Arabidopsis thaliana: one gene and its partner. The protein of the gene in region 1 interacts with the protein of each later gene in a pairwise test. Each region holds a gene or a part of one and is shown on either strand. Other genes may lie near its edges. The genes, in order: AT3G01360 and AT2G24170.

Region 1 (4,813 bases):
TAAACTGATAATGGGTATTAACTTGTGCAAGAAAAACTGGTTTAGACGATATATCTAAGGAAGTTATAAGTTAGGTGTTGGGTCATTTTCCGAGTTAAGGAATAGATCAAGTAGACCATCTTAAAGAGTCTTTAAGAAATTAGATACTTGGTCACCGTCCGATTAGAAATTTTCTTTTACCACTAATGGAGTTTATATGGATCCCTTTAATAGTTGGGTTGATAATGGAATTTTGATTAGAATGTTGATATAGTGCTTATAATGGGTCTTATCGGATCTTATAGGCGAAAAAGCTAGCTTAGTGGAAACTCGAAAATCTTCTTTTGTTAGTAGTTTTTAATATATTATTTCTGTTTTTTCTTTGAAGGGACTAGTGGGATTGACATGGACGGCATTTGCTGGGTCACGTTCAGCTACTAAGACTATCTCTTCTTACTTTCTCTACTCTTCACTATGTCTTGTCTCAATCGGTTTAGGCGTCTTAAACCCTTCTCTTCAAGCCTTTGGTGCAGACCAACTCGACCACGACCTCGATAAGAATTTCGATCTTTCCTCGGGTGATCAAAAGGACGCGAAAGCTACCCGAAAGACTCAGTTTTTCCAATTGTGGTACTTTGGCGTCTGCACCGGCAGCCTTATGGGTGTCACAGTCATGGCTTATATTCAAGACACTTTTGGTTGGGTTCTCGGTTTCGCCATTCCTGGTATCGTGATATTCCTGTCGATTTTGGTGTTCATGTCGGGTTGTGGAATTTATGTTTATGCTCCGGGCGCCCGTCTGAAGAAGAAAACAACTACTACACCTTTTGAGAAGATTCTTAAATTCATTAAAGGGAGAGTAGTGAAGCAGAGAAGCATATATACACTTGCAGATGAGAAAGATTTGGATGCTATGGAGCTTGAGTAAGTTCGGAAAAACCACGATATCTCATGAAACTAATTAGTCTTTTAAGTTTTTTAGCGACTAATGATTACCTGTTTATGTAGGCTAGAGGAGAGGCCTCTCTGTAAATGTGAGACCGAAGACATTGAGACTCCTTCAACAACCTCCAAAGGATTGGAAGATGACGAGAGCTCGAAAACGGTTTTCTCTGGAATTGATAATGTTAAGTTAGTGATTCGCCTTTTCCCCATATGGATGATGCTTCTCATGTTCGCGGTTATCTTCCAGCTACCAGCAACCTTTTTCACCAAACAAGGTGTGACTATGAAGAGAAACATTGGGTCCAACTTCAAAATCCCACCTGCAACCCTGCAAAGCACGATCACATTATCAATCATCCTGCTTATGCCATTATATGATAAGATTTTGATACCTATTACCAAGAGAATCAAGAAAAACGGTACAGGTATCTCTGTGATGGAGAGAATGGGAGTCGGAATGTTTCTATCCATCATTGCCATTGTTATTGCGGCAATAGTCGAAAGGAAAAGACTAGCCATAAGCCAAAAGATGAAGACTTTACCTGATTATGATCCAGAAACCGTCCCACTGAGCATCTTCTGGCTGCTGCCTCAGTACATCCTCTTGGGAATCTCAGATATATTCACAGTCGTTGGGATGCAAGAGTTTTTCTACAGTGAGGTTCCTGTAAGAATGAGAACAATGGGATTTGCTCTCTACACAAGTGTTTTTGGTGTTGGAAGCTTTGTGAGCGCCGCACTGATCTCAATTGTCGAGGCTTACTCGAGCTCAACAGGTGACCGACAAAACTGGTTTGCAGATGATATGTCGGAAGCTCGGCTTGACAAATACTACTGGCTTCTTGCTCTTACAAGTACAATAAGCTTTGTAGTCTACATATTTCTATGCAAGTTTTTCAAGAGTAGCAGTGATCAAGGCGATGAAAAAGAAGAAGCCCCTAAATGAAAGAAGAAAAACTTTGATTCCTTTGACACAGTCGACTTAGATAACCGTTTGCCATAAGATTCCACGAATGATCTAACTGTAGTAGTAGCTTTAGAACTAACTAGCAAACCAAAAGAGATAGACAACTGTAAGATTTTTATTCATAAGAAACAGTATCTTATAATATCAAATGCAAAAGATTCAACATTATTATTATCTCGTGTGTTTGATTACATATCATCATTAATCCTCCCATTGACCAACAACATTTCTAAAATGGACAGATTCAAAACAGACAAAAAAAAAAAAGTCTGAAACTTTGATTTATACCTTTAATCATGTGAGCTGTTTCCATTGAGACCAACTTCTTTAGCTACGTTGCTCTCTTCTCGAACCTCGTCTTCTTCATCAGAGTCAAGTGTGAAAGTACTTAAATTCTCCAACTCAGCTCCGAGAGGTCGATATTTAGAATGATCTTGACGGAGATAACCATTCTTGTTAGCAATGACAGAGAACAAACCAGTAGCCACAACTACCATTAGAGCCAAATGACAGTTAAATTGAAGAGTAGCTATAGCTTTTGCTCGGTGATAATCACCGTGTCCTTTGCACTTGATCGTGAAATTGCCTCTGCTCTTCTCGTGAAACGTACAGTTATTAGTGATCAAACCGGTAAAAAACGATACACCCATTTGCAGAAACCATGTTCCTTGCAGAATCAGACCGATCCCACGACCTAATTTCGCAAACCGATGCGTGCTAGAGTCGGATTTGAGCTCAAAAACCGTGGAGAAGACGCAGATGGCAATGGGCACGAGCATGAGATCGTAATAACGATTCTCGATTCCAGAAACATCTTTCTTTTGCAGGTAGAACATTAAGAACTCCTCAATGAAGCCAAAGAGAAGCAATAAAGTTGTAATCGAAGACGGAAGTGCAACAAAGACAGCGTTTTTGGAGTTGACCAGATATGTTAGAATGGCGTAATATAGGAATAGTACTGCCACTGCCACGATCTGTAACTGGATCATTGACCCGACCCGATCGCGAGATCCGATTGAGCTGAAGAAGGAGAAAAACGAGTTCGCAATAAACAGAGACGAAAGCAAAGCTACGGGGATGGAAGATGATCCAACAGATTTTGGCGGCGAAGCTCTGATCTGAGCCATAGGGGAAGATGAATCAGCAGTACCAGAAGATGAATTCGGATCCAGGTTCGATGAGTCCAGTGACTCCCACGCGCCGATTACTGCAAATCCACCGCCGGCGACGGCGTAACTTAATATACCCATGACTCCAATCTTCACAATCTCTGCGAATCAGGTTATACTTCTTTCGAGGAAATTTGGATTTTTCCGCCATTAAAGCTTAACAGAATCGAGCTTCTGATCTGATAAACCGGAAAGATCCGACCCGACCCGAATAACCCAAAATGGGATAGGCTAGTAGCCCAATAACTCAATATGGGCCTACTGGGGTCTTCAAATAGTTCATGTTTAAATATTCTAACCATCACGTGACAATCATGTGACCTCTATGGATATGCTGCTGCTGCATATAGCTCCGCTTGCGTAATCCAGTTTGCTTGGAGAAATGTTGCTTCCACTGTTTCACCAGCAACCATTGATACTTGCCAAAACCTTTCCCGATCGAATTTTCCCGCCATTCCTTGTTCCCAACACCCTAGTTTCGCGACGCAATGTCAGTCGAGCGAACTCCGGCATCTTCTGTAGTTCTGCTTCCGGTCGAAAGACTCTTCCCCAATCGGCTATCCAGAGAATCGCTGAGAAGCTTCGTAGCCTTGGATTCGTGGAAGAGAAGCATGATTCACCGACTAGGAGAATCACGGGAGAAGAATCTGGTAAGAATTCCCCAGGAGAGATATTCGTTCCGTTGCCTAAGCAGCTTCCGATTCACCGGGTCGGGCACACGATTGACACAAGCTGGAGCACGCCTAGTTACCCGGTTCCGAAGCCCGGGTCGGGTACTGCCATTTCAAGGTACCATGAGTTGAAGAGAGTGTGGAAGAAGGAAACGGAGATGGAGAGGAAGAAGGAGGAGAAGGTTCCGTCGTTGGCGGAATTGACATTGCCGCCGGCGGAGCTGAGGCGGTTGAGGACGGTGGGGATTAGGTTGACGAAGAAGCTGAAGATTGGCAAGGCTGGGATTACGGAAGGGATTGTGAATGGGATTCACGAGAGATGGAGGACGACGGAGGTTGTGAAGATTTTCTGCGAAGATATTTCCAGAATGAACATGAAACGGACCCATGACGTCTTGGAGGTTTGTTTGCCTCTCTACTTTTGATTTCATGATAGGGATTTGATAGTAACATTTGACTCTCAATGAAAGATCTATGAACATGTCAACAAATGGCACAGACGGAAATTCATACTTGTCCTGGTTGATTTTACAGACAAAAACTGGAGGCTTAGTCATTTGGAGGTCTGGAAGCAAAATATTGTTGTATAGAGGGGTAAATTATCAGTACCCTTATTTTGTATCTGATCGGGATTTGGCACATGAAGCTGCTTCAGGAGCATCATCTATGGATCAAGGAGTGGTTGATAGTAGAGAGAAACAGAGTATTGCAGAATCTTCTGCCCCGAGTATTACTAATAAAATGGTTAAACCGATGTTGACGCAAGGCGTTGGTTCTCCGGATAAGGTTAGGTTTCAATTACCCGGGGAAGTACAGCTTGTAGAAGAAGCAGACCGTTTGTTGGAAGGATTGGGTCCAAGATTTACTGACTGGTGGGCATATGATCCCCTTCCCGTAGATGGTGATCTTCTGCCAGCCGTAGTACCTGACTACAGGAGACCATTTCGCCTTCTTCCATATGGCGTCAGTCCAAAACTAACTGATGATGAAATGACCACAATAAGGAGACTTGGTAGACCACTCCCTTGTCATTTTGCTTTAGGTAAGCTTGGTTTCACCTGATTTTAGCTTCATTTAGACAC
Region 2 (5,747 bases), on another chromosome or scaffold:
CACTTGTAATGGTAAGTTATTTGTGAATACACATCCATGATTAGATGTTTTATTTTTGTTTGATTGATTCGCAAGTAGTGACTAGTTTTGTATTTTGTTACTGATATGATTCGTTTGACTCCGAGTATTTTAGATCTAATAATCTGGAATATCAGAAAGTCATTAAGTTGAAAAATGCTAAATCTAAACGACAACAAGCTAACAATGAACCAAAAGGACCTAAAAAACTGGAAAGAAAACTAAGAGATGAAATAGGAGCACCTAAGCCACATAGAAAAAAGGTGAATGAACCAGAAACATTTAAAACCCAAAGAAAAAAGGGTGATGAAGCAGAAGCATATAAAACAGAAAGAAAAAAAAAGTTTGATGAAATTGAAGAAAAAAAGTCTGTCTTCATGTTCGTTGCACTCGTCGTGAACCCCGAACCTCAAATGATTTAAAGATTAAAAAAGTATTAGACTGCTTTCGATAATTCCTTCTTAGTTCTATGAAACACTATAATCTATTTAGACTACCTCAGCGTATCAATATTTTTTTCTTGTATAGAATATCCAATCACGACCAATCGAATTTCATCAATCTATAAGAATGCCATTCTCATGCAATTTTTCTCTTATAGCCAACATGCTCATGCAATTTTGATTATTTACTTAAATAAATAAATAAATAGAAGTTTATATAAGTGTCAATAATAAGCTTAACCTTGAGATTCTTTGAGAAACGTTGCATTTATAGAAGAATTTGTCAGTAATTCTAGTAAGATACGAGCAATCAATTGGTATTTTTGATTGTTACTTCTCTCATCTCACAAGTTTGAATGGTTACGGCAGTTAAGATGGATAAATCCGTCAATGGTTTAATCCGAACTATTTTTAAAGTAGACAACAAACCGTCGCAACCAACTCTATTTATATGTAAAAACGGTATGTGGTTGATCCGCATCAGTTTTCTTTTTTAAATCCACACAGAAGTAATTTGTGAAATGGTAAATAAAACGTGGTCAAATACACAAACGAATTTGTCCACCTTAACCACAACAATCATTTAGACCCTAAAATTGATAATAAATGGACAAGTGAACATAGAAAATATGGCAATTTATGTTATTTTAGACAATCGAAGCGATTATTTAGGCGTTACCTGAGAGTCTAGTGCCTAGATAGAGTGTAAACGACCGCCTAGACCATTTTTTATAATACTGAACTTTTGTAATCATTTATTTCGGAGGTGGTGCACACGACAATGCCTACATTACTCGTGAAAACTATATTATACCTCAGAATACCAAAGTCCATGTTCCCGATCCCAATATCATCAAAGAGTTGGCCCATATCAAATGCTATGTTAATTTTTCTTATCTTTTCAAATTATTCTAATGTTGTGTTGCCAACGACTGCTTTTACTTTATAATAGAATAGAAATAATAGAAGTTAGTTTCCGCGATTACTATTATATGCTTACATTTATACCGGACTAGTTATCTCCAGAAGAAAACCGTCCGTTTTCAATTTGAAAACAGTCTGTAAAAGAAAGACTTACATTTATCTAATGCGGATTTGTATTGTGTGTGTGTGTGCTTTTTTCTTACATGTATTTATTGGTAATGTACATTTAATTATATGTCAAGGTGGTTGCTGGTGTGTGTAAGGTTTCATAATCTGCTAGAATAGTTAAGAGGTCACCTTCATTTACCAAATGGATTTTGTCTTCTAATTGATTTAAATCCATTTTTTTCTTTTATTCTTTGAATACTTTTTCATAATTATTTCGTATCCTCCACACTAACTCATTTCTACTTTGCTACATTTACAAGTTTCATCTAATCTACTTAAATTAACAAAAAAAAAAAAAAATTGTTTCCTTATTTAAAAATTAGATTTCTCGTAAATTGGACTTTGATTTTAATTATTGTCTATTCAAAGTTTTATTTTTTTACCTTAAAAAGTGTTGACTTTGATATTTCATTACCTTAAGAAGAAGAATCACCGACAGCTCCAACTTAGGAAATCTCAACCGTTGATTAAATCAAACGAGATACTAAAATATCCAACGGCCATAAATCGTCCAATTGCCATGTTTCTTCCCACTCTCTTCTCCTTCATTTAAGAAATTTCACTCTCCGAAGAAGAAGACGAAATCGAGCAAATCCATGGCGAAAGTTCGGATTTTGATCTTCACCCTTGTCTTATTCTTCTCCCTCAATGTCCATATCCATGGATTTTACCTTCCCGGCGTCGCTCCACAAGATTTCCAAATGGTCAGCCACATAAAATCATCTCTGTATCTGTATTTCACAAATGCAGCTTCTTCTTAGAGCTTTGATTCACACTGGGTCTAGATTTTTTTCTGATTTAGATCCAACGCAATCGATCAAGTAATCTTGTTAAAATTGGATCTATGGCTCTGTTTTATGAGATTTGGGTAATTTTGATCTTCAGTTACCACTGAGTGTTGTGTTTAAAGAGAATGTTTCATTAGTCTATATGTATTAGCCATTGTTTAGACTTGTTTCTGTGTGAATCTAGCTTTTGGAGTAGAAGAATGTATAATGGTCATTATCTATAAAGGTTCAAACTTTGGAGTTATGGTTTTGTTTTTCAGGGAGATGCATTGATGGTGAAAGTTAATAAATTGACATCTACAAAGACTCAGCTTCCATATTCCTATTATTCTCTTCCTTATTGTCGTCCAGAACATATTGTTGATAGTGCTGAGAATCTCGGTGAAGTTCTTCGTGGTGATCGAATTGAGAACTCTCCTTTTGTGGTATGTTCTTGTTTCTTCTTGGTTCTTTCTCTATCTGTCTTGGTTAAGTGGTAGTTGTTGAGTTGTTTTTAATGTCTGTTTGTTTCTTTGTTGCAGTTTAAAATGAGGGAATCGCAGATGTGTGCTGCGGTTTGTCGTGTGAAGCTTGATAAGAAAACCGCAAAGGCGTTTAAGGAGAAGATTGCTGATGAATATCGAGTTAACATGTGAGGAGATTGATTTTGTCGCCTTCGACTGAATGTGTTTTGTTTTTCTTCTGTTTTTATGAGGAAGATTGATTTCTTATGCAGGATTTTGGACAACCTTCCCCTAGTTGTTCCGGTGCAAAGGCCAGATCAGGACAATGTTGTAGTGTATCAGCATGGTTTCCATGTTGGTCTCAAGGGAATCTTTGCTGGCGTAAGAGCTCATCATCACCTTTTCTGAATATGTTTCAATGGAAAGAGTTCTTATTTATTTGATTTTCTTGTAGAAAAAGGAGGAGAAGTATTTTATCCACAACCACTTGACCTTCACTGTTAGGTATCACAGAGATATACAGACCGATTCTTCAAGAATCGTTGGCTTTGAAGTCAAGCCGTTCAGGTAGCTTTTTGTGATTTAAGGACTTTGACTCTGTATTGTGTAAGCGACTAACATCTACTGATTTTATCTCGATGCAGTGTCAAACATGAATATGAAGGTCAATGGAATGAAAAGGCTCGGTTAACGACTTGTGATCCGCATACAAAGCGTGCAGTCACTAACTCTGAGTCTCCTCAGGAGGTTGAAGAAGGGAACGAGATTATCTTCACATATGATGTTGACTTCCAGGAAAGTGAGGTGAAATGGGCGTCTAGGTGGGACACTTACCTTCTAATGGCTGATGATCAGATTCATTGGTTCTCAATCGTTAATTCTATGATGATTGTTCTTTTCCTCTCTGGTATGGTCGCTATGATCATGCTAAGAACACTCTACCGAGATATTTCCAACTACAATCAGTTAGAGAGTCATGAAGAGGCCCTCGAAGAGACGGGTTGGAAATTGGTACACGGAGATGTTTTCAGACCGCCAACAAACCCGGAGTTGCTTTGTGTTTATGCAGGCACTGGAGTTCAATGCTTTGGAATGATTCTTGTCACCATGATCTTTGCTTGTCTTGGCTTTTTATCTCCTTCAAACCGTGGTGGTCTTATGACGGCTATGCTTTTGCTTTGGGTTTTCATGGGACTATTGGCAGGATACGCGTCTTCACGCCTCTACAAGACGTTAAGAGGAACCGAATGGAAAAGAAACGCTCTGAAAACCGCATTCATGTTTCCCGCTACCGTCTTTGTCGCCTTCTTTGTCCTTAATGCGATAATCTGGGGACAAAAATCATCCGGTGCAGTCCCATTTGGTACAATGTTTGCTTTGGTTGTCCTCTGGTTTGGTATCTCTGTTCCACTTGTTTTCATCGGTGGCTACATTGGTTTCAGAAAACCTGCACCGGAAGATCCAGTGAAAACCAACAAGATCCCGCGGCAGATCCCAACACAGGCCTGGTACATGAACCCAATCTTCTCCATTTTGATTGGAGGCATTCTCCCATTTGGCGCAGTCTTCATCGAGCTCTTCTTCATACTCACCTCAATATGGCTACATCAGTTCTACTACATATTCGGCTTCCTCTTCATCGTCTTCATCATTTTGATCATCACTTGCGCAGAGATCACGGTCGTCCTCTGTTATTTTCAGCTGTGTAGTGAAGACTATCAATGGTGGTGGAGATCTTACTTAACATCAGGCTCTTCCGCGGTTTACCTCTTTCTTTACGCAGTCTTTTACTTCTACACCAAACTTGAGATCACAAAGCTCGTCTCTGCAGTGCTCTACTTTGGGTACATGCTCATAGTTTCATACGTATTCTTCGTCTTTACTGGTGCAATTGGTTTCTACGCATGCTTTTGGTTCACCAGGCTTATCTACTCTTCGGTTAAAATCGATTGATCTTTAATCACCTTCTTAGTAAGCTGTATCTTAAATCTTGTTCTTTTTCGTTCTTTTGTTTCCTCCTTTTAAATTTTGTGATGATTTTGAGATATGTAGACATAAACTTTTATTTTATTGTAAACATACATAGAGCTCAAGAGTACAACAATTGTCTCATAATAACAGCAACTTGTCACACACTTTTATCAGCAATCTCAGTTTTTATTTCTTCCATTCTTAGTAGATTAGAAACTAAGTTTGTTACTACTGCAAGGTCATACAGTTTACATTTTTTTAATAACTGTTTCTAATCGACAATTTTTTTTTGGAATTCATGAAACTGCGTACCTCATGTTTTTAGGAACATAGTTTTCAGAATATTAAAAATGAAATAAAAAATAATGAACTCGATCGACAAGGTCAAGTCAAGATAGTATGTGGTAGATAAACAAAAACAAAAAGAAACGTATGTGGTGGATAATTTAGAATTGAATGAGTCAATCAGTAGTCTATATGGACCAGTGGCACAAATCACTGAGCAGAGATGCATGAAGAATTAGGAGGATAAGAAGTCCGACGAGTTCACACGATAGATTGTTCTCGAAGTCAAGAACTAAACTCCAGAAGTGTTTTTATTTTCCTTTTTTCTTATTAAAGGCATACTCAGAAGCCATAGTCATAACCTATTACTTACCACACACTGCACACACATACACACAGAAAGTAATTATGAGTCCACAACAATCTTATTGCTTTTCTGGTGTTACGTTGTATTCCTTCTTTTTGGTTTTCTTTGTTCTACACACATTTGCTTCTCCTACGCTTCACTATTGCCGCCATGACCAAAGGGATGCTCTTTAAGAGTTCAAACACGAGTTTCCGATCAATCAATCCAAGCTAGATCCTTATTTTGCATCATTAAGTTTATGGAACAAGAGCAGTGATTGTTGTTATTGGAAGGGTGTCAAGTGCGATGCTAAGTCTGGCAAGGTGATTTCACTTTACCTTAATTACGTCTTTCTCAACAA

Evidence for each region.
Region 2: the proteins of AT3G01360 (region 1) and AT2G24170 interact in a protein complementation assay, tested with the Arabidopsis thaliana proteins (one large-scale study listed by BioGRID).

What each region holds. Positions count from the first base shown.
Region 1 is NC_003074.8:135,591-140,403, forward strand, and holds AT3G01360 (plant viral-response family protein (DUF716)), read right to left. Parts: upstream 3,142-4,813; coding exon 2,182-3,141; 3' UTR 2,180-2,181; exon of another isoform or gene 2,004-2,179; intron 1,971-2,003; 3' UTR 1,871-1,970; coding exon of another isoform or gene 988-1,870; 3' UTR 904-987; downstream 1-903. Other genes in the region: AT3G01350 (Major facilitator superfamily protein), read left to right, coding at 368-903, 988-1,870; CFM2 (CRM family member 2), read left to right, coding at 3,443-4,132, 4,266-4,773.
Region 2 is NC_003071.7:10,273,297-10,279,043, reverse strand, and holds AT2G24170 (Endomembrane protein 70 protein family), read left to right. Parts: upstream 1-1,777; 5' UTR 1,778-1,855; intron 1,856-1,922; 5' UTR 1,923-2,149; coding exon 2,150-2,257; intron 2,258-2,601; coding exon 2,602-2,766; intron 2,767-2,862; coding exon 2,863-2,972; intron 2,973-3,056; coding exon 3,057-3,165; intron 3,166-3,238; coding exon 3,239-3,351; intron 3,352-3,428; coding exon 3,429-4,737; 3' UTR 4,738-4,945; downstream 4,946-5,747.